Linked DNA regions of Macaca mulatta. The protein of the gene in region 2 interacts with the protein of the main gene of each other region in a pairwise test. Links are inferred from orthologs where the notes say so. Each region holds a gene or a part of one and is shown on either strand. Other genes may lie near its edges. The genes, in order: HEYL, RBPMS, GCM2, CSN3, ZNF488, TFG and TLE5.

What was found.
Region 1: the proteins of RBPMS (region 2) and HEYL interact in binary tests that used the Homo sapiens proteins (3 or more experiments, as listed by UniProt). The two-hybrid records come from large-scale screens. The link is inferred for Macaca mulatta from reciprocal best matches to the Homo sapiens genes RBPMS and HEYL.
Region 3: the proteins of RBPMS (region 2) and GCM2 interact in binary tests that used the Homo sapiens proteins (3 or more experiments, as listed by UniProt). The link is inferred for Macaca mulatta from reciprocal best matches to the Homo sapiens genes RBPMS and GCM2.
Region 4: the proteins of RBPMS (region 2) and CSN3 interact in binary tests that used the Homo sapiens proteins (3 or more experiments, as listed by UniProt). The two-hybrid records come from large-scale screens. The link is inferred for Macaca mulatta from reciprocal best matches to the Homo sapiens genes RBPMS and CSN3.
Region 5: the proteins of RBPMS (region 2) and ZNF488 interact in binary tests that used the Homo sapiens proteins (3 or more experiments, as listed by UniProt). The two-hybrid records come from large-scale screens. The link is inferred for Macaca mulatta from reciprocal best matches to the Homo sapiens genes RBPMS and ZNF488.
Region 6: the proteins of RBPMS (region 2) and TFG interact in binary tests that used the Homo sapiens proteins (3 or more experiments, as listed by UniProt). The two-hybrid records come from large-scale screens. The link is inferred for Macaca mulatta from reciprocal best matches to the Homo sapiens genes RBPMS and TFG.
Region 7: the proteins of RBPMS (region 2) and TLE5 interact in binary tests that used the Homo sapiens proteins (3 or more experiments, as listed by UniProt). The two-hybrid records come from large-scale screens. The link is inferred for Macaca mulatta from reciprocal best matches to the Homo sapiens genes RBPMS and TLE5.

Annotation. Positions count from the first base shown.
Region 1 is NC_133406.1:201,156,812-201,159,490, reverse strand, and holds part of HEYL (hairy/enhancer-of-split related with YRPW motif-like protein), read right to left. Parts: intron 875-2,679; coding exon 201-874; 3' UTR 1-200. UniProt on the Homo sapiens protein: Downstream effector of Notch signaling which may be required for cardiovascular development. Transcriptional repressor which binds preferentially to the canonical E box sequence 5'-CACGTG-3'.
Region 2 is NC_133413.1:32,321,015-32,324,514, reverse strand, and holds part of RBPMS (RNA-binding protein with multiple splicing), read right to left. Parts: intron 2,737-3,500; coding exon 2,606-2,736; coding exon of another isoform or gene 2,459-2,605; exon of another isoform or gene 1,606-2,458; intron 1-1,605.
Region 3 is NC_133409.1:172,240,460-172,244,684, forward strand, and holds the start of GCM2 (chorion-specific transcription factor GCMb), read left to right. Parts: upstream 1-1,425; coding exon 1,426-1,570; intron 1,571-2,421; coding exon 2,422-2,659; intron 2,660-3,620; coding exon 3,621-3,744; intron 3,745-4,225. UniProt on the Homo sapiens protein: Transcription factor that binds specific sequences on gene promoters and activate their transcription. Through the regulation of gene transcription, may play a role in parathyroid gland development.
Region 4 is NC_133410.1:63,651,972-63,656,246, forward strand, and holds the start of CSN3 (kappa-casein), read right to left. Parts: upstream 2,801-4,275; 5' UTR 2,654-2,800; intron 523-2,653; 5' UTR 515-522; coding exon 461-514; intron 1-460. UniProt on the Homo sapiens protein: Kappa-casein stabilizes micelle formation, preventing casein precipitation in milk.
Region 5 is NC_133414.1:61,512,849-61,517,028, reverse strand, and holds the start of ZNF488 (zinc finger protein 488), read left to right. Parts: upstream 1-1,380; 5' UTR 1,381-1,460; intron 1,461-2,106; exon of another isoform or gene 2,107-2,183; intron 2,184-4,180. UniProt on the Homo sapiens protein: Transcriptional repressor. Plays a role in oligodendrocyte differentiation, together with OLIG2. Mediates Notch signaling-activated formation of oligodendrocyte precursors.
Region 6 is NC_133407.1:182,877,746-182,881,245, forward strand, and holds part of TFG (protein TFG), read right to left. Parts: intron 3,429-3,500; coding exon 3,282-3,428; intron 1-3,281. UniProt on the Homo sapiens protein: Plays a role in the normal dynamic function of the endoplasmic reticulum (ER) and its associated microtubules. Required for secretory cargo traffic from the endoplasmic reticulum to the Golgi apparatus.
Region 7 is NC_133424.1:3,855,194-3,859,320, forward strand, and holds the start of TLE5 (TLE family member 5), read right to left. Parts: upstream 2,801-4,127; 5' UTR 2,604-2,800; coding exon 2,376-2,603; intron 2,190-2,375; exon of another isoform or gene 1,874-2,189; coding exon of another isoform or gene 1,847-1,873; intron 1,603-1,846; exon of another isoform or gene 1,296-1,602; intron 951-1,295; coding exon 853-950; intron 1-852. UniProt on the Homo sapiens protein: Transcriptional corepressor. Acts as a dominant repressor towards other family members. Inhibits NF-kappa-B-regulated gene expression. May be required for the initiation and maintenance of the differentiated state.

The DNA.
Region 1 (2,679 bases), on a different chromosome or scaffold from region 2:
CCAGGAGAGCTGGGTGGATAAGCTTGGATAACAGCGAGGAGGAGAGATGGGCTGGAGGAGGAGGGGGCCTCTGATGGCTGGAGAATGTGCCTTCACATATGAGCCAGTCCAGGAAGCAAAGCAGAAAAGGCAGTGCCCTTTTTTGGGCTCCTGGTAAAAGAACCTTCCTTATTCCTGGGGCAGGGTGATGAAGGGGCAGCTCAGAAAGCCCCGATTTCAGTGATTTCAGAGACCCAGGAGTGGTACAGCATGGCTCCCCCTGGCCTCCCAGCTGGCCCTGGGGAGGATGAGTTGGGGGCGGGAACAGCCACATAAGCAGCGGACCCTATAGGACCAGGGGGTGTGGGGGAGGAAGATCGCAGGAGGGGAGTGATGTGGCTGTTCCTGGCAGCCCTGCTGCTGGGGGCTACAGGCACAGGGGTCGCTGGCCTCTCTAGGGGGCGGGCCCTCCGGGTGGAAGATGCCCCTCGACTGGGCAGCACATTCCTCCGGGCTGGCAGGATGATGCCTGTGGCTCTGCGAATGGGAGCGGTTCGGAGGGCTGGGATGGGGTAAGCAGGAGAGGAGGTGTTGGGCAGGACAGGGCCGGGCACTCTTCCCAGGACGGCGAGCTGGTTGCTCAGGGCTGGCAGCCCCGGGCAGCTATGGAAGAAAGACCAGGGCCAGGCAGCGAAGGCCAGGGGGCCAGCGTGTGTGGGCGAAGGCTCCATCTCGGCTGCGTAGCTGTTGAGGTGGGAGAGAAGGCGAATCCGAACGGGGTCTGCACGGCTGCTGGGCCCTTCAAGGACCCCCAGGTACCTGATGACCTCGGTGAGGCACTCCCGAAAACCAATGCTCCGGAAGTCAACTGCCAGGGCTCGGGCATCAAAGAATCCTGCAAAGGGAGGCGTGATGAAGGTCATGCCAGGTGTGGGGAGAAGCAAGGGGCCTCCGTCTGTCTGTCTGAGTTCTGGACCTGCCTCCTCCACTCACTCCCTGGGCAGCCTTGGCCATGTCACCCTGACTCTCTAAGCCGGTCTCCCCATCTGCAGAGTGAGAACAAAAATCCCTGCCTGGGGTGGAGGGTGGAGGGTTATAATGATCAAATGAATTCACTAAACTATGAAGCATTATAAAATGTAAAATATTGCTTGCATCACAATTCATGATTAATGCAAAGAAAAAACTTTGTGGCCAAGATAACTTCATTGAAGTAAATACTTGACAGATATGAAAGGTTGTGCACTTGAAGGTATAGAACAACCCTGCCTGCTGAGAGGGGCAGATGCCCAGGAAGGGAGGTGGCAGCAGCAGCCATCAGAGTGAGGAGGCCCCTTGGAGAAGGCAGCATAGTGTAGCAGTGAAGTGTGAGGTCGTCAGAGGCCAGGAGAGCTGGGTTCAAATCCTGGGTCAGCTACTTAACTAGCTGCCTCATTGTGGACAAGTCTCTATCTCTCTGTGCCTCAATTTCCTTAGCTGTAAAATGGGGATATAGCAGTGCCTACTGTATAGAGTTGTGAGGGTGAAATTAAAATAGTGCACAGAAAATGCTGAATAAATGAAAAATTAGCTATCACTTATATTACTGGCTTGACCCTGTTGGCATCTGAGTTTGTCCCTTGGCTCAAAAGGCAATCTGGAAATCAAGACCCCACTGTGACCCTCAGCTGCTCGGCCAGGGACCCTCTCTTTGATGGATAACCACGTAAACTTCCTGCACAAGTATTCACATCCTCACTGCCTCTCCATACCTGTTCCTCTCTTGACCACCTTCTGGGCAAAGACAGAACAACCCCAGTCAGCACTGGTCTCATGACGATGGCAGCAAATATCTGGTCCTTGGTTCATGGCCCCCACAGAGGAACAGCTCAGCTGGAGACTATGTTTGGAGCCAGGTCAACTTGTGGGCAAGAACCAACTCTACTCTACACTTAGCCATGTAAGTTCAAGCAAATCCCTCACCTTTCTGTGTTTGCTGTTCTTTTTTTAGTTTTATTATTTATTTATTTTTTATTTTTTTGAGACAGAGTCTTGCTGTTGCCCAGGCTGGAGTTCAGTGGCACGATCTTGGCTCACTGCAAGCTCCGCCTCTTGGGTTCACGCCATTCTCCTGCCTCAGCCTCACGAGTAGCTGGGACTACGGGTGCCCGCCACTATGCCTGGTTAATTTTTTGTATTTTTTAGTAGAGATGGGGTTTCACCGTGTTAGCCAGGATGGCCTCGATCTCCTAACCTCCTAATCTGCCCGCCCTGGCCTCCCAAAGTGCTGGGATTACAGGCGTGAGCCACCATGCCCGGCCTTTTAAAAATTTTTTTTGAGATGGAGTCTTGCTCTGTCCCCCAGGCTGGAGTGCAGTGGCCGGATCTCGGCTCACTGCAAGCTCCGCCTCCCGGGTTCACGCCATTCTCCTGCCTCAGCCTCACGAGTAGCTGGGACTACAGGCGCCCGCCACCACGCCCAGCTAATTTTTTGTATTTTTAGTAGAGACGGGGTTTCACCATGTTAGTCAGGATGGTCTCGATCTCCTGACCTCATGATCCGCCTGCCTTGGCCTCCCAAAGTGCTGGGATTACAAGCATGAGCCACCATGCCCGGCCTGGGAGTGTCTTTAAAGCCACTGTTCCATTACTTTGTTGTAACTGATGGGCTTAAAATAACAAAATGAGTTAATTTGTGTCCTGCTACAATCCTGAGATTTG
Region 2 (3,500 bases):
AAAAATCCATGTCTCAAAATAGAGCATAACATTGCTAAGAAAAACAAAATTATTTAAAGCCTCTCCAAAGACATTATAAGATTTCCAAAACAAAAACTGAATTATCCAATATGGGGAGATGCCCCGTAAAGGCTCCAGTCTGCTCTACCTCCAGTTAATAAAGATTCTCTTGGGCCCTTTGGGTGAAGGTTAAGTGCTGATTCCCTTTGCTTTGCCTCCAAGTCTCTTCTTACAGGCTTCCCATCTACTTAGAGAAGAAAGATCCAAGGAGTCACTGGAGTGAGGCCTTTCCAAAATTCCATTAAAGAATAAGTCTGTGGTGAGCCAACACCTCGGAGTGGAAAGAGTCAGGCCTGGGAGGCAGGTGACCTGGGTCTAGTCATGGCAGAGCCACAGATTGTGGGCAGCTCCCTCCATCTTCTCAGGCCTGTTTCCTCATCTGTCAAATGGGTCAGACCAGCTGATCTGTAGAGCCTCTACTAGCTCATTCTGATTCTCATACTGCACAAATAAATTTAAATAACGGAATGTGTTCACAGAGTCCATGCCTGCACTGGGAATGACTCCAAACAAGAAGTGGCGTTGAAAACTGGTATCAGATGAGAGTCCCACCAAATCTGGGACCGATGTGGCAGAGCTAAGTGGATTCCAGTTTGGGAAAGTCTCAAGATCAAGAACTCCCAGGGGAGGGTGCCACCATGGGCAATACAACCCATTAAGTCAAATGGCTGAGTCCATCTAATCTTGGCACTGTCTCTCCCCATCCTTCCTTACAATGGCATGTGCTTTCTAATCTCTTGAGACTCTTTAGGCCCTTCTCTTACCATACCGTATCTCCAGAATTACTTCTGATTTTACCCATTACATGAATGAAGAATGGGCAGATGTCATATCCAAAAGCCACCATTCCCAGTACTTTCTGGCCGTTGTCAACTCTTGATATGGCTATTCAGAAGACTATGCAAACCACTGTTTCACGGTATTTATTAACATTTGCCTTAACTGCCACGTGATCTGTACCCGGCAGTCTAGCAAGAGGAGACACCATCCAGAGCAGGGGTGGGAGGTGGCAAGCAAAAGGGGCTCTTAGTTGTCCCATGTCATCCACACATTTATCCGCAGCCTGCTACAAAGATCCTAATGACTCAGCAGAGAAACCCACAGGTTTACATTTTATCCCCTCACCCCGTTACCTGCCAGTTGTGAGGGTTCTCAAGCATTGACATGGAAAAAGGAAGAAAAAGCAGCAGGGGAAGGAGAAGCCAAAGGCACAAGTAATCCTGGCTCCTTTATTTTCTGTGCCATGTACTCTCACCACCACCACCACCTACATTTTTTTCTTCACTACTTGTACTACTTTCTCCCTTCTTCTCCCAACACAGAGGGCAATCATTACTGGGGCTCAGGCACCAAAGGCAGCCCAGGAAGCCGGGTCGTCAATGCACGCACAATGTGTTGGTAACTCAGCGAAAAGAATTAAAAGATGTTCAGCCAACAACAATCTTGACCCCATGACTTTCGAGAACCCTCACCGAGGGCTGCTTCTAGGTGGTCTTTATCAAGACAGTGAATTCTGTACAACATAAAAGAGTTTTAAGTCAGAAGGAAGTTTTCTGGGAAGCTGTTTATTTCATCCAGCCTTGAAAACAAACACTGAGCAAAACAAGCAAATGAAAACTCTGCCTGTCCAGCCTAATCATTTTTGAAAATCTAAAATTTAAAGGCTGAATTACACATGCAGAAAGATAAATGAAACCTACATACGTACTTTCTATTTGTTACTGGTCATCAATCTTTGCAGGCCAAAGAATGAGTGATCTCCAAAGGTGAATCTTTACACTGATTACTACTACTTGCGCTAAAAGCACAGCTAAGAGAATATTTTCTCCAAGGGGAGAGGAAGTGTTAGTATGTAGATAGTAACCTTTGTGGAGAAACAGGAAGTTTGTTTATAAAAATCAGGCTATTTTTAACTAAGAAAGCAAGCTGGTCAGAATAGAGATCTCTACCTTGACCTGTAATTCCATCTTAGACACTATCCTGTACCTCCTTTTCTACAGGGTTTCCTGAAAATGGAGAAAAGGAACCCTTAATCTTTCCTGTAACATATTTAAGAAAGTATAGCCTTCGCCCATGGAAGCTTTCCCTTTGGTCAGAGATTCTTCTCACAGTACACGAGAGTGGAAAACTCTCAACACACAGAAACACGCACAGACGCACATATCCCCTGCTCCCAGCACACACCTTCCTCTGTAGCCCTTCCACACAAGGCACACACGTGTACGCTCCGGTGATGCCCTCTAGCTAGCTGGGAGCCAAGTGGATAAACTTGCCCCAGTCTCTCATGTGCGATATGAGGTGAGATCATTAAGGAAGAGAGAGGTGTCATTTGGGGCAAACATCAGGCAGTGGGTGATATCATTGCTGTCAGACGATCCTCGTAAGTCCTGAAGGAGTGTCAGCTTGATTTAGAGGGGATCATTAATCTCTTGAAGGTGGATCTGTTAGCTGGATAGGTGTTAGTTGTATGGTGTGCTCTGGGGAACCAAGTTTGAAAGGACTGGAGGTGGAGTGAGTGAAGTCGTGGCCGATGGGTATCAATTACCTGGGCATGCAGTGAAGCGGGATAGGTGAAAGCAGGAGGAGGTAGAGCAGGCGCTAACTCCGCTGGGTACAGAGGGTACGGGGCCCACACTTCAGGGCTACTGGGGTAAAGTGCAGGCACTGTGAGCTCATCTGCAAGAAAAGAATAAGGCGAGAGTTAGTGGTTACCAAACAGCTAGTTTCAAATCAGAAAACAAAACACCCAAAAACCCCGAGCCCCAATCAATGTCAGAAGCCAAATGACTCTCATTCTTTTCACAACCTGTTGTTTGTTGGCTTTGGTCCCATAAGTGCTAAGCAAGGAACGAAAAATATAACAAGAAAAGTAACAAGCATCTGCTGTCTGTCTGGCCTGCTGAGATCTCAGGCCTGGACTCCGCCTTGAACACTCTGATGTCTTTCCAACTGTAGCTGGGGAACCCAAAACAGTGGGAATTTCCTGCACAAAACAGAAAATGTGGCCCTCTGAGGAAAAGGGAGAGAAAGAACCAATGAAAGATATCCCATGAGAACCCACCGCAGAGCCTTTGGGAAAACAATGGCCTAACGGCAGGGCCTCAACAGACCAGAACTGGAAGGCTTTTCTGTTTATTGGCATAATTACTATTGACAAGTCAGTCATGATCATCAAGCATTTTCCATGTAGCCCCCAGAAGTACAGGGCCAAATACTGTGACCACAGGGCATTTAAGATCTTAAAAATTCAGAGAATTGAGGTGAAAAACCTTGAGAATCCTGATTAAAATTACACTCCACAAAGATGTAAACATTTCCAGTTGCTCTTTACAGACTAACTTTTAGGGGGAAAAAGTGAGTCATGTTGCCAAGCGCCTGGTCTAAGTGTTCCTCAGGCAGCTCCAATTCCACCCAGGTCAGGCTGCAGTTGGCCCGATTGA
Region 3 (4,225 bases), on a different chromosome or scaffold from region 2:
AACTTGAAATGCATATTTTAATTCTTCTCAAAGTAAATATGGTAGAGGCTCTATGACATTTCTTTGGATACCAGAATCCCTTTAGAAATTAATTGATTTGCTTTTAACATAAAAAAGTTTTATTTATTTACATTTTGACGGATCAGGTCTCTCTAGGAACATTCCGAAAGCACAGAGACAGGAACTATTCTAGCACTGCAATAAGACCAAAAATTAATTTCTATGCATTCTCAGAGGTAACTTTAAGTCACCATTTTAAAGTTATTTTTAGAACATTTGAAAGGATAAGTTATCTTAAACTACAACATTTAATGAAAGAATATATTTTAAAATGGATGATCAATAAATTTTCATTCAATTTTGGAAGACATAACAACACGAAAAGCAACTGAATCAACAGGAGTTTCGGGGACCTTTGGCAGTCAGTTAATAAGATGAAAATCTGTGAATGAACCTGGTGGGTGAAGAGTAGACACATCTCTTCGTTCCCAACTGGACCTTAGTGGCGACCATTTGAGAGTGATTTTAATCAGAAACCCTGACGACTAACTGGACCTTTCAGGAGGGGAGAACTTCGGGAGAAAGGAGGCTGGGAATGAACACATCACTTTCTTCTGCTAGGACCCTTCAGCTTTGCTTGGGAGGAGGACCCAAGCTTGAAGATAAGGGAGGAAAAAATCGCGAGGAACTGCTCAAAGTTGTCCTTTCTCCCCAACAGAGTTCGCTGGTCCGCTGCTATTGGCCGGCTTCTGTGACAGACCGGGATACTTTTTCTTTTTCTTTTCTTTTCTTCTTTTTTCTTTTCTTTCCTTTTCTTTTTTTTTCTTTTTTCTTTTTTCCTTCCTTCTTTCCTTCCTTCCTTCCTTCCTTCCTTCCTTCCTTCCTTCCTTCCCTCCCTCCCTCCCCCCTGCCTCCCTCCCTCCTCTCTCTCTCTCTCTCTCTCTCTCTCTCTTTCTTTCACTTTTCTTTTTTTTGAGACAGGGCCTCGTTCTGTCGCCCAGGCGGGAGTGCATCGGCGCTATCTCAGGTCACTACAACCACTGCCTCCTGGATTCAAGCGATCCTCCCGCCTCAGCCTCCCTAGTAGCTGGGACTACAGGCACACGCCACCATGCCCAGCTTTTTAAAATTATTATTATTATTATTTTGGAAGAGACAGGGTTTCTCCATGTTGCCCAGGCTGGTCTTGCACTCCTGGGCTCAAGCGATACTCCCGTCTCGGCCTCCCAAAGTGCTGGGATTACAGGCATGAGCCACAGCGCCCAGCCGCGGGATCGACTTTTCTAAGCAAGCTTCACTGTGCCTTTGGCTGGGGAAGTAAAAGGACAGGGAGTGTGGACCACCCTTAGCTTCCTGAGGTTGTTTCGCTCTTCCTTTATCCGCCTTTTGCCAACCGAAGGCACTAATCCTGCAAGAGGCGTTGGCATGGGCGCCCTCCCGGCAGAGTCCCGCGCAGCACCCGTCCGTGTGCCGAGCGCGGGCTTTGCGGTGCCGAGGTCTAGGGCGCGTCGCTCCCCAGGTCTGGAGGGTCATGGGTTCGGTTCATCCTCCTCTATCAAGGGAATTCGCCGTGAGGAGTTGGCTCCTCTTCTCTGGCTAGGGCTGGGAATGGAAGCGTGCAGCTGCAAAACAAGGGCGCGGGGAATAAATTCCAGAAACCCTTTTCCCTGGCCGCCCAGAATCCGGCCCTGGCGTAGTCAGAGTGACTTTAGTCACTTCAATCGATTTTTTTTTTTAACTGAGGGTCTCCAAGTGCCATAGTAGCCCTGGGCGAGACGGCTGCTCAGATGAGGAAGGTTTCGTCCCAGTCCCGGAAAACCCACATAGTCCTGCGCACCCCCGCACCACCGCGATTCTCTAATCCCCCAAAGCCTCCCAAGACTGTAATGGAGTAAAATTTCCACGACTATATCAGGAAAGTTTTGTTTGTTTGTTTGTTTGTTGTTGTTGTTGTTGTTGTTGTTTTTTAAGAGTTTTAAAAGAGTTGTGAGCCGGGCGCGGTGCCTGTAATCCCAGCACTCTGACAGGCTGAGGCAGGCGGATCACGAGGTAAATAGATCGAGACCATACTGGCCAACTTGGGGAAAACCCGTCTCTGCTAAATATACAAAACTAGCTGGTCGCGGTGGCGCGCGCCTGCAGTCCCAGCTACTCGGGAGGTTGAGGCGGGAGAATCGTTTGAACCTGGGAGGCGGAGGTTGCAGTGAGCTGAGATTGCACCACTGCACTCCAGCCTGGGCGACAGAGTGAGACTCCGTCTCAAAAAGAGTTCTGTTCAGGTGGGTGGCAACTGAGAGCTACCCGAACCATAACCCCTTATTTAACAGATAAGGAAGCTGAGACCCAGAGGGAGCCAAAGCAGTGGAGAAAGCTAGGAGTTCTTCGGGACTTTACCCCTCTCCCTTTTCCGTCCTTCCCCAGGCTCCTACCTACCCCAGGCTCATTTCCCCCCACCTCCTCCGGGTTCACTTTGTAGGACTCCGTTCCTGCAGGGCCAGGTCCCTCCGAAGTCCCCGGGAGCGCGAAGGCGCCTGGGCTCGCGAGCATACGCGGAGGCGTGGCGCCCGTTCACACATCCCAAACAGCCGAGCGAAGACTCCGAGACACGCACAATAGTTAGGGGAAGAGCCGGCAATGGAGGCCCAAAATGGGCTGACCCGTAACTAGGAGGCATGGGCACGGTTATTCAGCGTAGGGAGCGCGCGGACGGCAGAGGGGCCCATGCACGGTTCCCATGCTCTACTGGAATTGAGTGTTGACTCTCAGGGGACTTTGCTGGAAAGCCTCTGCTTCCAAAGCCTCCATCTAAGCCCCTTTCCGAAATCAGGGAAGCTGGATGCGTTTAGAAAAAAAAAAAAAAAAAAAAAAATAGGCCGGGTGCGGTTGCTCATGCCTGTAATCCCAGCACTTTGGGAGGCCCAGGCGAGCGGATCACCTGAGGTCAGGAGTTCAAGACCAGCTTGGTAAGGGTTTCGCATGGCGAAAACCTGTCTCTACTAAAAATACAAAAATTAGCCAGGCGTGGTGGCACGGACCTGTAATCCCAGCTACTCGAGAGGTTGAGGCAGGAGAATCGCTTGAACCTGGGAGGCGGAGGTTGCAGTGAGCCGAGATGGCGCCACTGCACTCCAGCCTGGGCAACGGAGTGAGACAAAAAAGAAGAAAAGAGAAGAAAATAATAAGGTTTTAAACTTAAAGGATACATTCCAACTTACCCTCTCCACCCCCACCCCCTGGCTGCAGTTTCCCTTTGCTTCCAGGGCTGAGTTTAACCTCCACCTCCGTTCCTGGGTCTGTGGTGGAGGTGGTGGCCGGCCCCTGGAGCGTGGGCGCTAGCGAGGTAGGCGAAACAGGGCGGAGTCCCCCGGAGATGCATCTTTATAAAGGAGGGATCAGCTGCAGACGTCGATGCTACCGTTCGGGTGGAGACCGTTCAGCACCGCGGCCGAGGACAGGGCCCCGCCCGGGTCCATAACCATTGTCCCCAACTTCCAGATTTCTAAACAATCTCTCTCTCTTTCTCTCTGCCCCTCCCCTTCACACACATACCCCACTTTCTTCTTTAAAGAGTAGGAAAAAAATCACCTGGCGCACCTCTCCTTTTTTCTTCTATTTTTCAGAACCCTGGGCGGAAAGCGCGAGCGAGTTGGGCAGATGCCGGCAGCCGCGGTGCAGGATACGGTCGGCGTGTGCTCATACGGGATGCAGCTCAGCTGGGACATCAACGATCCACAGATGCCTCAGGTAAGTGAACCGGGTGTGTGCGGGCACGCGGGGCGCTGTCTATCCGAAGGAGGGAGGGAGAATGGCATTCAAGTTCTTGAAGAGTCTGCGGACGGACCATGACGTGGTCACACACACACACACACGCACACACACGCAAAATTTCTGGGTTTCTGAGGCCCCCTCAAATGTAGAAAGAGAACTGGACTCCACAAAAGGCTGAATTGGGTTTAGAAATGTGTCTTCTCGGCCGGGCGCGGTGGCTCACGCCTGTAATCCCAGCACTTTGGGAGGTCGAGGCGGGCGGATCACCTGAGATCGGGAGTTCAAGACCAGCCTGACCAACATGGAGAAACCCCGTCTCTACTAAAAATGCAAAATTATCTGGGCGTGGTGGAGCATGCCTATAGTCCCAGCTACTCGGGAGGCTGAGGCGGGAGAATCGCTTGAACCCGGGAGACGGAGGTTACTGTGAGTCAAGACCACCCCATTGCACTCCAGC
Region 4 (4,275 bases), on a different chromosome or scaffold from region 2:
TGAAAAAGCTTAACCAAAGTTGACCTTTGAAGGATTTTGTTTCCATAAAGACATTGGAGTCTGGGTGAGATACGAACTTAATTAAAATAATTTCTGATTCCCGGACTATGATTTCTGTAGTTATTCTTTCTGAATTATCTTTAATGCATTTATAATTTTAAAATGTTTTCAGTATTGTTTTCCCCACAGAATGTATTTTCTCTATAGTATGAGAATTTTAAAAGTTTCCTATATATGATTAACTATGATTTCTTAATTCACAGAACTAAATGGATATCCAAAAGAACATGACTTTGATTTTATAATAGAAATAATATTTAAAAAATTAACCTTAAATATAACAAGTTTGTAGATATTTTGGTCTATGAGGTATAACTGTATTAAGAAATTTGAATAGTTAGAGCCCTTAAATAAAAATTTCTTAAAGTCAGTACAAACTGGTTAGATGAAATTAACTTACCAAAAAAGGCAGGGTTAATGCCAGGACATTCACAACTAGAAGAAAACTCTTCATTATTGCACCTAAAGATACATTTAAAAAATTAATTTAGAATAATTTGTTACTAGAATTTTAGGAGTGACTTGAATACAATGTTTGCTTTGATTAAGAAAAAAAGCCAGATTTACAAGTAGATTTAGCCAATGTGGAAAAATTTATTTTAACAAAAGAATGTAAAAACTCAAACTTGGAGTAAAAAAATTTCTGAATTTAATTTTTGACAGCATTAATGGAATTATAAAATTATCATTACTATGTCAAATGTTAAGATTATCAAGGTAAATATGATGCAATGAGTAGCATCAATTTTAGGAAGAGTGTTGAAATATACACGAATAACTGTAAGAGGGAAAAAAGTAGAAAATGCCACAAAAGTGGTTTTCTACTAAAAAAAGTTTCAGTTAAGAGAAGCAGCAGTCTTTGTGTGGGAAAATGACATACAGGCGAGGCTTGCCTATGCAGGGTTTAATAGGGAGAGAAGTATTTCAAGTAGAGGAGAAAGTCTTGAGAATCACCATGAACATTTGATTGGAATCTTGTATGAGAAGAGAAATACAAGATTGGAAGGAAAGTTTAGAGCAGAAAAAGTAAACACCTTTAAGTTAATGATGGGTGAAAAAGCTAGGCATGGCTTTATAAACAACAGAAAACAATTGATTGTTTTCGGACTAGAAAGTGTATGACTATACATTTTTTGGAGGACTGAGTTCTAGACCAGAGTTCTCTACCTCTGTAACTTTGATCAAGTGATTTCCGTTTCCTGGGCTTTACATTTTTTTACCTGTAAAACTAGGGTTTGAACTTAGAGATTTCTAAAATTCTGTAATTCCATGATCAATCCAACAGAAGTATGTAGGATGGAACGGGAAGTGGAGGGTTATGAAACTGTTTCCTTTATAACATGCTTCTCTAATAATCATAACCGATATGATTAACTCGAGTGTTTTAATAGGAAATATAGAGATGATACAGTGGCTTTGACTAAAATATTTAAAGAAATAAATTAACCTTATTTTTCTAAAAGAGTATATACAGTGTCATACCTTCTTATTTGATTTTTAATAAATCATCTTTTTAGACAATAATAATATATGATACCCCAAACTTTTTATATTTAAGTATATATTATGTTTAGGAAGTAATTACTAACTTCATCTTGTTGCAGCTATTGTTATTGATATACTCATATAAACTTAAATCACCACAAACTTGAACTTTACAAAAAAGATTCACAGAATTAAAGTCTCAGATAGGGGATAGAAAGCACATTGTACTCCATTAGCGTCTGATTCTCAGGCAATAATGATTAGGAAGGCTGTCTACTGAAGTGACTTCAAAACTGCCCATACGATGTCATCCAATTTCCATTCGATGGAACTCATTTGTAATCAATTTGAACAATCTAAGAAAACTCGTATTTCTTTAAGTGGGATGAAGCTCCTTATTAATGCTTCACTTGCTAGTGATCTTTTAGGATTATAGACTGAAAATATTTTCATGATGAATCACAGACCCCTTATCAATTCACACAGTAAAATGATATGTAAACAAAAGAAAATATTCTATAAAATGATAGTAATTTGTTTTTGGCACAAACAAAAATTACAGAGATAAGACCATACTTTGCATATCAGCTACATTTGCATTTGCCCTCATCACTTGGTAAGAAGAAATAGTTTGTGAAATGGTAGAGTTATACAGCTTTCATGAGTATTTGAAAGACATGTTTTAAAAAAATTATTATTCCATAACACATAAAATTATGACTTTTATAGAAATAAATTTTGAAAGTTATTAAGGGATCAATTGCGATTATTATCATGAGTCCAACTTCCTGAGGAATTAACTCTCAACGTTTGTCTGTAGGAATATGTTAAACGCCTTTTTTGTTCGGAATTCACAATGTCTACTATGATTTAGCTGGTGTCAGAATTCGACTGGAACCCAGATTAAAGTTAAAAATAAATTTGATCATAACACCATTCAGAACTTAGGTTTAGGTTAGAAATTAATTTTAAAGTGATGCTAGGTCATATTCAAGCTTAACAATAACTAAAAGGAAGAAAATGTGATTCTGAAATAACTATGGTGATGTCCCAACTAACTACTGTGAAAATAATCACTTTCTTTTCTCAGGTGTTTCAGCAGCATTACCTTTCCTCGTGCCAGTCAGGTCTTGGTTGGCAGTAGGTTGAGTTGGCTTGTCAGCTGCAGAGAAGACCCAAGATAAATAACTGAAGACCAGACCAATGAAAGGATATTAGTACCTTGAGTCACGCTATTCTGTTTCCCTCCTACTTTTTACCCAATAAGATGATGACAGAAAGGAAAGATTTGATGACAGCAGGGTCACCTTTGGGTCAATCCTTTTTAATGAAATGCGGAGAAGGATGTAAAGTCATCACTCATAAAGCTTGAAAAAAGAGTATTCATATCTTTTTAAACAATCTTTTTTGTTTTATAAAGAAATATAGAAGAATTTTAAAAAATATTAATTGTATTCTTATTCAACTTATCCTATGTATTTGAACTTAAAACTGCTGTTGAAATGAAAAATAGTCACAATACTTTCACATTTTAATTGTTTCTTTTAGTTTAAGAACCTGGATTTCAAGTGATACTGCATCTGGTATAGACTGTGGTTGGTCTTCTTCCTTCCAGAATTACAATTATTGATTTTTAAAAATTAAATAATTGGCCATCTCACACATACCCAAGAGCACCTCCTTATAAAGGTAAAACCCGTATATGAAACATTTTAATCGGTGTAAAGTGGGGAACTATTTGCATTTGAGCTGCAGCACATTTTCTCCCATATGCATTGACTACATACTTAGTGATTTATTATTTTCTCATGAATAAACATTTTTAAGATTTTAAATTTCATTAATATAGGTGAACCATTTTGAAAAAACATTATTAAATTATTGAATTGGAGATATTTGTTCTGTTTTAAGGAAAGTCATTTTGACTTAGAGCATACATCACAAACCCACTGACATTGTGAATATTTTGGCAAAAAATAGCTAAACAAAAATTTTGTTTAGATAATTCAGGAAAGAATTATTTTCTTTTACTTGTTTTTCTCAAGAAATAATGTTAACTGTGACTTCATTTTGGCTGTGAAGAACTGACCAGATTGAGGAACTTACAGGAATTAATGTAAGACTGCCAGAACACAAATAAGAAATAATATCAGCATTGTAATTATGTCTATGTTCCTATCTGTTTCTTAGAACTGTTGCATGTCTTAGAAAGTTAGGAACAATATTCTAAACCGTAGAATACTTATTTGGATTACACAGAGTAAAATGAGATTTTCTGTTTCTCAGAATAGTTGGTTTTTGCAGTTCAAAAAGAGATGACAGAATTTAAAATTGCTAAACCAAGTTGCTAAAGTAATAACACCAGCCATTCTATCTGAACTATTTAGTCACAGTGTTTTCCTTTGATTCTCAGGGTCCATGGTTGAAAGACTATGATCTGGTCATTCCTAAATTTTGAAGGTGTTCTATTTCACATAGTAATTTCTCAGCCATTGATTTAAAATCATGAGTGTTAATGATTTTTCAGTTGAGTATTGAATTATTTAACTTACAAGTAGCAGACACTCAGAACACTTCTGAAGACATGTTTTCACAGGAAAATATATTTTAAGAACACCTGAGAGTGCTAATAATCTTTTCTCCCACTAAGATAAAAACATGTTTACCATGGTATCATCCATTCACTTCAAACACTAATGTAGCTTTTGTGGGGCTTTGCAAAACTGGACA
Region 5 (4,180 bases), on a different chromosome or scaffold from region 2:
ACCCCCTTCACTCTGCACTTCACTCATTCTTCTCCTTCTTGCCACTCTGTGAAGAAGGACCTGTTTTGCTTCCCTTTCCACCACAATTGTAAGTTTCCCGAGGCCTCCACAGCCATGCTGAACTGTGAATCAATTAAACCTCTTTCCTTTATAAATTACCCAGTCTCAGGCAGTTCTTTATAGCAGTGTGAGAATGGATTAATACAGTCTAAAATATATCTTTCTTTATATGTTAAAAATTACAAGTGATGAAAAGCATTGAGTTGGTTGGTTGTCAGTTTTTCCCCCCTCTTTTGGAGTTGTATTTAGTATAATAGAATATCTTAAATTAGTGTTGTTTTATAATCAATGAAATTGGGTGTACTTCTATGCTGTACTAATATGGGTGTTACTATATGCTGGGGGCATATTAGGGTTCTCTTGCTTCATGCCTTCCGTGACACTTGTTATTGTTATATTTTAACACTTATACCTAATGATTAAACATCTCCTTGTGGTTTTAATTTGCATTTTCTAATTACTCTAGAGACTTCCTTCGTTCACATGATTTTGGTCGCTAATGGTTCCTCCGAAGTGCCTATTCATGTCTGTATCCATTCTTTGCTTTGGGTGTTCCTCTCCTTCATTAAAAGTACATATCCTGGATACTAATCTTTTATCAATTGCTGCAAGTATCTTCTTTCAGTGTGTGGCTTGCTTTTTCACTCCGTTTGTTGTTTTTTTAATCAAAGTATAAGTTCTTAATTTTAACGCACTTGAACTGTCATTTTCCACCACGGCCCGAGTCGCGGAGCCCGCCTTCCTGGCAGAGCGCTGCGTGGTCACAGCTGGGGTCTGGGGAGCAGAGGCTGCGGGCGCTCCCGGGGGTTGGCGGGGAGAGCTGGGCGATTTCGGCGGGGGGAGGTGCCGCTCGAGGGGCCGCCAGGCTGCGCGGGGAAGGAGGGCCTGGAGGCCGCGGGGGTCCTCGGCGCAGACTGGAGCCGCAGGCGCCGCGCGCAGCCCCCGTCCGCCTCGCCGAGGCCCCGCGGGCCCAGGAGCGCGAGGTCTGGCGCCCAGGACCAGAGGGGGTCGGCGGGAGCAGGCGCCGCCTCCAAAGGACGCCCTCGCCCTCCTGCAGGCGCTGGCTCCAGACCCTGACCAGCCAGCTGGGAGCTGAGCCGGGGTAGGGCCGGGCAGCCCAGAGGATCAGAAGGGGGTTTTCTCCCGGGGTTGGGGGTTCTTTGGCCAGCAGCGCCCTCCCCCGCCGGGGTCGCCCACCCACAAGCCCCGCCCCGAAGGCTGGAGCTTCCCTGGGGATGGGCGAAGCCGAGGCCACGCCCTGAAGGCGGGAGCGGGTTTGGGGCGGGACCTGGCCACCCTCAGGGCTCCAGCGCCAAGTTCAGAGCCACGCGCTGTGCTCTTGGCCGGGAGGAGGCTGTGCTGCCCCAGCACCTTTTGCTCCACATCTCCAGAGAGCCCAGGTGAGGCGCGCCCTCCTGTCTGCAGGGACAGAGCCGCGAGCGGGCGCGGGCGGCCGGGTCCATCTCACTTCCACTGCCTTTCCCCAGGACAGGGTTGTTGAGTCCTGCCTTTGACTGTGGGGTCCTTTCCTTCCCAATGTCGCCAGCTTCCTCTAGCTCTCTCATGTCGTCTCCGACTCTCATCCCCGTTTCTGTTCCCTTTCTCCTCTCTCACTTTTTCTCCTCTATCTCTTCTTTATTGTCTTCCTGTTTTCATTTCCTTCCGTGTCAGTCTCTCTCCCTCTCCCTCTTTTCCTCTCTTTCTTTATCCTTCTCCCTCACCTTCCCCCTCTCCCCGCTGTTTTTTCAGCACTCAAGAATTCTGCCTATGATTTTTTTTTTCCTCCTAGGGTGACTTTCAGGCTGCAGTTGTTTTCGTCCCTCCCTCTGCCCCTCCCGGGGTTTATCGTGTATTGCTCTGTTATTCTCAGCCCAGGCTTGCGCTGGGCAGTAGGGTAAGAACCATGCATCAGCCCCAGATCCCTTCTCCAACAGATTATATCCAAAGATCTGGACGTGTAACCTGTTCACTGCCTTTCCTGGGAAACAAAACAATGCTAAATGATCACATTATACTGAGTTTTTAGAATGAGCTGAAAGAACATACCTGGTTTTAGAGGCAAGGGGTTGATTGAATCCTTTCCTTGACATTTTGCCTTTACTAATAGACACAGACAGCACAGCAGGAAGCTAAGCCGTGCAGAAGCATTTAAGGGAAGTTCCCACCCACACCTGCCTTCTGGGCAGGTTATGCAATGCCAGGTGCAGGGGAGGGAGGGGACAGGATTCAGAGCAGGGTTGTGGGAAGACAGTGGGAGGCCAGAGCTTTGCACCTGAAACATCTGAGGGCCCCTGGAAATAAGAAATTAACAGTAAATTTCTAAAATATGTAGTTGCCAATGCCACTGATGTACAGAAATGAACTTACTTAATTACTCCTGAGGGAGACGTTAGGCATTTTATGGCAGTAATTATGGCATTTGAAATTAATGATTTTATGTACATTAAATAGGAGGGCCAAGGGGAAAATATTTCCTGTTAGTGTCAAAGATTGTCATAGATGCATAAAGGACGAACTCTAGAAAATCAAGCCTCATTCATTTTTGAGGGATAAAATAGAACTATATCGAGGCAATTTTTTGTTTCTTGGTTAAAATGTAATCTTATCAGAGATATGTGATTTAATTTTTAATGATATTTATGACACATAATATTTATATGTTCAAACACACACAAATACATAATATATATGCACTAAGTTATAAAAGAGCCTTTGTTTGTTTGTAAAGATCTTAATTACCAATAAAGCTTGAAGCTTTTGCTTCTTGGAAATAATTTAACATGATATTGTAGTTTATTATGACCTTTAATGAAAATTCAACTCATTTACTTTTGATTGATACAGAAATGGAAATTTGGCCATAGATAAATCACACAGAATTAAACAGAAATTAAGTATGATGAAGGTACATTGCAGTGTGTTCAGTGAAAGAATTTGCATGTGCTAGATATTTTGGACAAATTCATAGGTATGTGCGTGGAACTGTGATTTGTGAGGCTCTTTTCTGGTTTAAAAAGTTAAATTGCCTTTTATATCTAATCCCTGATCCCCAATATGTGAGGATTCTCGGGGGAGGGGTAAAAGACTTTGCAAATGATTTAGAATCATCATGTCTGCTTTGCTTGGCAGATTTCTTTTCGGGTATCCAAGAAGTGGCAACTTTTGTTTGAAATATGTAATCACACCAATTTTTTTTTTTTAAAAAGGATGAATTTCAATATTTTTAAACTGATCGTTCCTCATTAGTGGTCAGTGTCTCTGTAAGAACATCATTGTCTTTTTATCCTTAGATGATGCTATTGTTGGAACCTGGGAATGTCAAAAGGAGTAGCTGAGGTAAAATCATGGACTTTTTCCCAGAAGGCTGCCAGTGGAATTGGGACCACCGTCTCAGGCTCCACCTTTATTCTCTAGTTGTAGTAGGAAAAGAGCTGCTGTTCCTTGTGCTCTTGCTGCCTGGCATGTACAGAGCCCTGTTGAGTCCCGTCCGTGAGTGCCTGAAGTGAAGATCACTGTTCTTGTTTTACTTATGAAGAGATGGAGACCCAGAGTATTTGTCTGAGGTCAGGCAGGTAGTAGCAGGGCTGATTTGGAACACAAGTTGTGCCCTGGAGCCTGAGTGACCAGGGCTAATTCAGTCCCGTTATGTGACTTCCATGTTGCTGCAGCCCTGGCACATGTAACATCTAAAATATCACTCCACACAGCACCAGCCATTGCCTATTGGCATTGTTTGGCAGAACACTGCTCCCTGTTCTGTGTCCTGGCCATGCTCAGTCATATCCATGGTAGACTCTCCATCTGCACAGCAGGGCCCCATTGAAGCACTGGATTTGCCCTCTGCTTTCACTGGCCCTGCTTCTGCACAGTCTCAGGTATCTGAGTGGGTGATGAGATTGCATCCACCCCTATGAGGGTCCACATGGCCAAGTTATGTTGCACTAGGGCCACTCTCCCTGCTTCCATGGGTACTGGCTGTGTCCGCAGTCTCCTGCACTTAGCTTTCCTGGAATGCAGCAGGCATTGCTGCTAGAGGGGTCCAGGCATAGCTGGCCACAGAGCTTGTAGGGGCTGACCAGGAATTGCTCATCTCCCCAGTGCCACCAGTCAGCCTCTGGGA
Region 6 (3,500 bases), on a different chromosome or scaffold from region 2:
AGAGGGCAAAAAGAAACAGAAGATTAACAACAGCTTTTCCAAAAAAGTTATTTACCTCCTTTCATAAGAAATATTAGATGAAAAAAATACAAGCTCCTGGATAAAGAGAAACATTTTACTGTTTTGGTTTTTTTTTGGAGCCCAATGACCTATATCCTAGTATCAGATACCCACTGGGCACTCTGGAAATAACAATTATAGGAACTAAGGCTTTATTTTATAAAAAGAAACTTAACTAAAGTTATAATCTCAAATTTAACATTTCATTTTTACTGTCTAGTGGTCCACTACATGGAAATCAAGCCAACCATAATTAATTCATAATCTTCCATAAATAGCACATTAAAAACATTTTTGAATTTGCTACCTTCTATTTTAATATGTATTACTTATTAAAATACTTATTCAAATGCTTACAGATAAAATGATGTATATGGGATCTGCATCAAAATAATACAGGAGGGGAGCCGGGTGCGATAGCTCATGTCTGTAATCTCGGCGGGAGGCCAAGGTGGGTAGATCACTTGAGGCCAGGAGCTCAAGACCAGCCTAGCAAAACCCCATCTCTACCAAAAATACAAAAATTAGCCAGGCACAGTGATGCATGCCTGTAATCCCAGCTACTCAGGAGGCTGAGTCACAAGAATCACTTGAACCCAGGAGGAGAAGTTTGTAGTGAGCTGAGATCGTACCACTGCACTCCAGTCTGGGTAACAGGAGTGGTGAAAGTGTGTGTACCATAATTATATGATACCATAAGTTGGTAACTGTTGAAATTGTATGTGGGTTTATGGGATTCATTATAATGTCTACTTTCGTATATACTTAAACTTTTCTATAATAAAATGTTTAAAACAACAACAACAAAAAACAAAATGTTAAATATTATAAGCAGGTTAAATTTAAAATCATGCTTTTCTTCTAAGGATACTAAGATATTCCACAGGCATTTATACTACTGTCTTTCGAAAGAAAGAGTTCAAGAATAACCTACATTTTACAAATAGGAATCCAAGTCCAAGATACAAAAGACATCAAAACAAACAAACAAAACACACGAACAAGTAAACAAAAGGACTGTTGTTAATCATTTACTCAATTAAGGAACAATGATTATCACTTTTGTTACCAAGTAAGTAAATGAATATCTGTTCTTAGATCACCCCAGTAATCAATACAAAATGTATCTTCTGAAAAAAACTAAGTGCTAAAGGAATATAAATACCCACAGCACACACTGGCTGGCAGCTCATTCATTCCTAACATACCATTCCAGGCTACCCTAATATTTTCTAAGTTTTTGGAAAAGGAAAACCCCTAGAACTATTCCTTTAAAACACGTCTACCAGTTATCTACCTTCCCTACCAAGTTCCTTCCTCTAATCCCAAGAGCATACCACGTCACTCTTACCAATTGTTTCCCCTCACATCTCACTACCTATGCCTCTTTTCACTTATCACAAACTATAACGATCAGGAAACACACTATATGTCCTACTACTTGCTCCATTAACTGCTGGAGATACTGCCAACAGGTCAATCTTCTATCTAAGGTAGTTTACACACCATTTGCCTCTTGGAGGAAAACAAGCATCCAAGAACCACTGTAATAGAGAGCTGAAGACCACAGGCAGCCATGTTTCTTGGTGAGGGTAATCCACAGGTTCTGAATAGCACTGATAGCTGATTGGCAATTTCATTTTGTGGACTAGATTTCAGTTTCTGATGTAGGGCGCTTTTTTTTGTTTTTGTTTTTTAAAATTAGAACTATCTCTAAAAATAAAATGCAGATTGTATTATTCTTATATCATCTTATCATCAGATACGTCAGACAGGACACAATAACTAGAAGATGGCCATACAAGAAAACAACACATGGCATGACTTCCAAGATGCAGAGAAGAAACCAATTTTAACATCTTTTACGTTAACATAGGTAAAAAGCTAACAATAATATGTATAAAAATACAGAAACAAAGAATGAAGTATAAACAGTAGCTAGAAATAGGTGAGGAAAAAGTTTCACCTAAACCAACAAATTCATAAATCCATTCCTGAGAGTAGAATGTGGGCCACTGTAGCTAATTTCTGAACAGTACTGGCTATACTGGTTAAATTCTCATCTACATTTCTTAATATTTTGCAGATGGTTAAATCCCCTGAAATTATATGCAAATGTTGTGTCAGCATCTATGAATTCTTCTAGAAAAATTGTCCCATTATGTTCTGAAATAGAAGTGGAACTAGAAATCACCAATCACCAAATATTTATTAACTATCTATCATTAACATAATTCCACATGATTATTAGAAGACAGGAAGAGAGTAATGATGGAAAATACGTCTTTATTTAAACTGTAACTAAAATAAACACAGAAAACAAAAACTCCCAAATTATTTAATGGCCAAAAACAGAATACATGCCATTTATCCACAAAAATTATCTTGTGTTAAGCCCTTTACATGCAGTCATCCAGACCAGACTTTTTTTTAATTACTATTTCACAATATGGACAGTTCTAAACATATGAAAATTATAAGCAAACAAGTTGTAAAAAATAATGAGTTTTCTTTAAATGCAACATCTAAGAATCTTAAAAGAAGAAAGCAGTTTTTTAACTCTACTTTCAAGTCATAACACATACTTAAATTTCAGTCCACATTTTAAAATACATTTGGTCCCAAAATTATGTCAGTTCCAAATGTCGATACTTCTTGCTTTATCTTAACACAAATAGTACATGTCATCTATAAAATGGGGGAAAAAAAGTTTTTCTTTAAATATTATTAAAAATTGTGTTTCAACTTTACAATGTACCATTTTTAATGAATATTACTAATCTAAGTGATTTTTAGTTGAAACTACTTCCAACACTACGTAATATTCATGAAATGATTTTCAATTCCCAAGGTTCATTACTTACCTATTATACTAAAAAGGGTTCATGTGTCAAGAGGATTTGAAAACTGACCTGTGTAATAAATCCAAAAGTCTAAGACTAGTTGTGAACGAATCACCCAGAAAACACTTTAAAAATGGGATTTCCAGTTCCTAAACTCCAGTAGGTCTATGATGAGATCCAGGAATTGGTATAATGAAACCTCCTAGTAATCTTGATGAACAGCAAGGTTTAGGAACACAGACATAAATACTAGTAGAGAGGCAGAGGAACAAGAGTGACACTGGGGGTGCCATCCTTCTCCTACTTAAAAAGAGTTTTTACAAACCTCCAAAAAGACGTAAGAACAATAAATCAGAATACAATGGATTCAGGGTTTACCATTTTCAGGAATATTGGTGGAAGGTCCAGGTTCTCCAGGTGGTTCCAAGCTATCCAATAAACGATTCACTTTATTTCGAAGTTCTATCAGTTCTCGACGGAGATATTTCACCTGACTTGATTCAAGGGGTCTTGGCTGGCCATTAACTGAAATAAAAACATTTATTTGCTTAAAATTAGAAGTTCATGAATAAGTATACTAATAATATGCAACAAGGA
Region 7 (4,127 bases), on a different chromosome or scaffold from region 2:
GGCTTAAGTTTCTTCTTCTTTATTTTTTTTTGTTTTTTTTCGGACACCGAGTCTCTCTCTGTTACCCAGGCTGGAGTGTGGTGGTTCGATCTCTGCTCACTGCAACCTCCGCCTCCCGGGTTCAAGCAAGTTTCCTGCCTCAGCCACCCAAGTAGCTGGGATTACAGGCGTCTGCCACCACACCCGGCTAATTTTGTATTTTTAGTAGAGACGGGGTTTCGCCATGTTGGCCAGGCTGGTCTCGAACTCCTGACCTCAAGTGATCCACCCGCCTCAGCCTCCCAAAGTGCTGGGGTTACAGGCGTGAGCCACCGGTGGCACCCGGCCTGGGATTAAATTTCTTTAAGTGTAAAAGGACTAAATAGTTCCTTCCCCTTAGATACCACAGCATGGCAAGCTCTTCAGAAACGCCAGGAGATTTCTGAAAGAAGCACCTGGGAGAATCTGACTGATGCTGGGAACCCTTTCTCCAAAACTGGGCAAAGAGAGATGACCAGGCTGCAAAATGTTTGTTTTGGGGGTTGGGGGGACGGCGAGTCTGTGCCCTAACTCCAATTGTCTTTTATCCAAGGGGGGACTTGGGGGGATTGGGTAGGAGGGAGGGGCTCTGAAGCCACACAGCTGGGTCTTTGGGCAAATTATTTAACTTATTTTGTGCCTCAGTTTTGTCCTCCACAGAATGCAGCTGTTTAAAAAAAATGAATTCCCTATTTGTCAAGTATTAGGTCAGAGTCTAGCATACATTATTTTCCCAATCTCCCCTCCAGGCCTCAGCCTTGCCATCTGCGCAGAAAAAATGGGGTGGGGGGCTCACCTTCTCGGGACGCAGGGACCCTCGGCCCCCCAGCTCACCTGTGATACTGAGCTTGCAGTAGCTGAAATTCGTCTTTGATGCGGTCGCAGGAGTCCGAGGTGGTGAATTTGAGTTGCTGGGGTAGGTGCGAAGAGCCCTGTGGGGAAGGGGCGGCCCGGGTCAGGCCCTGGCTTGGGCTGGACCCCCCTCGAGGGCCAGCCGGGAGGGAGCGGCCGCGCAGCTGCGGCGCCCCCCCTCCTGCCCCACTTCCTGGGCCCGTGTTTACGGCCCCTGGCGCGGCCCCCACCCGCGCTTCCTGCCCCCCGCCTCTCCCGGGGGAAGCCGAGGGGGTGGGTGCGCCCGGAGCCGCCCCGACCCCCGCCACCTCCAAGCAGTGGGGGTGCGTTTTAAGGCCTGCCCTAGATGGGGGGCAGGGTGCGCCCTCTACCGCCCCTCCAAAGCGCCGGGAGGGAGTGCACATCCGAGGGGGGTGGATACGCACCCTAGGGAGCCCCCTCCCCAAGTTGGGGGGCAGCGAGTCCTCCCAGCAAAGCCCTCTTGGGGGAGGGGTCTCTCGGCGCCCGAAATCTTCCCGGGGGGCCCACCCCAGATTCCCAGCGCCCTTCCTCGGGGACGCGCTCTTCCGGGAGGGGTGCGCCTCGGATCGCCCCCCCACCACAGGCCCCCAAAGGATCCCCGCGCTAGAGGTGCCTGGCGGGGCTCCCGGAGCGCCCCAGGCCCGAGGCCAAGGCCGTCCGAGGCCCTGCCTGTCCCGGCGAGGGGGGGGGCGCCAAGCCGGGAGCTGGGACGGGGGGGCTCGGGGCCCGGAAGCTGGGGTGGATCGGGAACTGGGGGGTGTCCGGGGGCCGGCGGCAGGAGGGGGGTCGCGCCGGGCTTGGAGCTGGAGAGGGAAGACAGGGCCGGGGAGTTGGGGGGGGTGCCGGGCCGGAGGCACCGGGCCTGGGGGTGGGGGGCGCGGGGCCGGGAGCCGGGGGTGGGGAGCGCAGGGCCGGGATCCGGGGTGGGGGCGCCTGCCGGACGGACCCCGCTTACCGAATGCCTGCTTTGTGGAAACATCATGTCAGTCGCGGCAGGGGGCGCGGGCTGCGCCCCGGCTGTGCGCCCCGGCTCGGGCTGCTGGGGGCGCCGGGCGGCCGCGCCTTTGTCCCGGCGCCGATCGGCAGCTCCCGGGGCCGCCGCCGCCTCCCGCGCCCGGCCTCGCCCGCTTCCTGCGCCCCCTCCCCGCGCGCCCGGCCCCGGCGCGCCCCGGGCCCCGCTTCCTGCGCGCCCGGCGCCCCTCCCCGCCCCTCCCCGCCGCCCGCCTCCCCGCTCCCCGGCCCCACCGCTATTGTCTAATGGCGGCGACGCCGGCAGTGGCCGCGGCTCGGCTGATGCTGAGGCTCCGGCTCCACCTGCCGCCGCCGCCCGTGCCCCGTGCGCGCCGCCGAGGGGGGGGAGGCGCGCGCCCGGGGAGGCCTGCGGATCCCCACCCCGGCCCGCCTCCCCAGGGCCCGCCCGCCGCGGTGACCTTGGGCCCGGCCCGCCCCCGCCCCGGGCCGCGGCCCCCGCCACCCCCCCCAACCCGGCAGCAGGCCGGGCCTCGGTTTCCCCATCTGTCAAAGAAAAGGGACCCGGCTGCCCGCGTCGAAGCCGCCAGCCCTGCCGTGGCACGACCTGGACGCGTGCCACGGACGTGCTCTGTGACCTTGGCTCTGGCTGGGCGGTGGTTCTCGCTGAGCCTCAGTTTCCTTTTCTGCAGAAAGGCAGCGGTAATGCCGCCTTTCTCAGGGAAGCCATTCTTGCGACACATTTATAGAACGCCTACTGTGTGCCAGGGCCTGCTGCTCCAGGGCCCTGTGGTGGGGGCGGGGGTGGGGGGTCCCTGCTCTGGTGGTGGTGCCTGGAGACAGACAGAGACAAATTAACAAGCTGAATTCCCAGCAGGTCAGATGGTGGGGACCGTTCTGCAGAAAAACCAGCCGGGAGGATGGCAGGGTAGGAAGATGCAAAGTTAAACAGGTGGCAGGGAGGATCAGAGAGAGCTTCCTCCGCCCCTAAAACGACCCAAAGAAGGAGAGAGAACAGGGGGATGGGGTACAGAGGTACTCAGAGGCAGGACCAGCAGGTGTAAAGGCCCTGGGGCAGGACTGTGCCTGGCATCAGGGTGCCAGGGCGGAGGTCAGGAAGGCCGGAGGGAGGCAGGGCCTGGGGCTTCATGCATTTGCCCGGGCCCCCCCCCCTCCTCAGCAGGGCTTGTGCTTGGGTTAATATTTAGTGTTGCATTTTGAGATTCCTAATCATTTTTGAACAAGGGGCCTTTCAGTTTTCTTTTGCACTGGGCCCTGCTAACTCTGTAGCTGGTGAAGCAGGCCAGTCCAGCAAGGACTTGTGGGCCATGGGGAGGACTTGGGTTTTTGGGTGAGTGAAGTGGGAGCCCTGGAAGGCTGTGGGAGGAGGAGGGATGGGACCTGGTGGTTTGTTTTTTGTTTGCTTTTGAGACGGAGTTTCACTCTTGTTGCCCAGGCTGGAATGCAATGGCACGATCCCAGCTCGCTACATCCTCTGCCTCCCGTGTTCAAGTGATTCTCCTGCCTCAGCCTCCCGAGTAGCTGGGATTACAGGCACGTGCTACCACGCCCGGCTAATTTTGTATTTTTAGTAGAGACGAGAGTTCTCCATGTCGGTCAGGCTGGTCTTGAACTCCCGACCTCAGGTGATCCACCTGCCTCGGCCTCCCAAAGTGCTGGGATTACAGGCGTGAGCCACCTTGCCCAGCTGTTTGTTTTTGAGATGGAGTCTCACTCTGTTGCCCAGGCTGGAATGCAGTGACGTGATCTTGCCTCACTGCAACCTCCGCCTCCCGGGTTCAAGCGATTCTCCTGCCTCAACCTCTCGTGTAGCTGGGATTACAGGTGCGTACCACCATGCCTGGCTAATTTTTGTATGTTTAGTAGAGATGGGTTTCACTATATTGGCCAGGCTGATCTTGAAATCCTGACGTTGGGTGATCCTCCCGCCTCTACCTCCCAGAGTGCAGGGATTACAGGTGTGAGCCACCGCACCTGGCTTTAGACTTGTGCTTTTGCTCTGAGTGAGGTGGGAATCCTGGAGAGCCGTGGGAAGAGGAGGAATGGGACCTGGTGGCGGTTATGAAAGTATCCCTCTTTCTGCCATTCAGAGAACAGGCCCCAAAGAGGCCATTGAAATAAGGCTGTTCCGCCGGGCGCGGTGGCTCACGCCTGTAATCCCAGCACTTTGGGAGGCCGAGGCGGGCGGATCACAAGGTCAGGAGATCGAGACCACGGTGAAACCCCGTCTCTACTAAAAATACAAA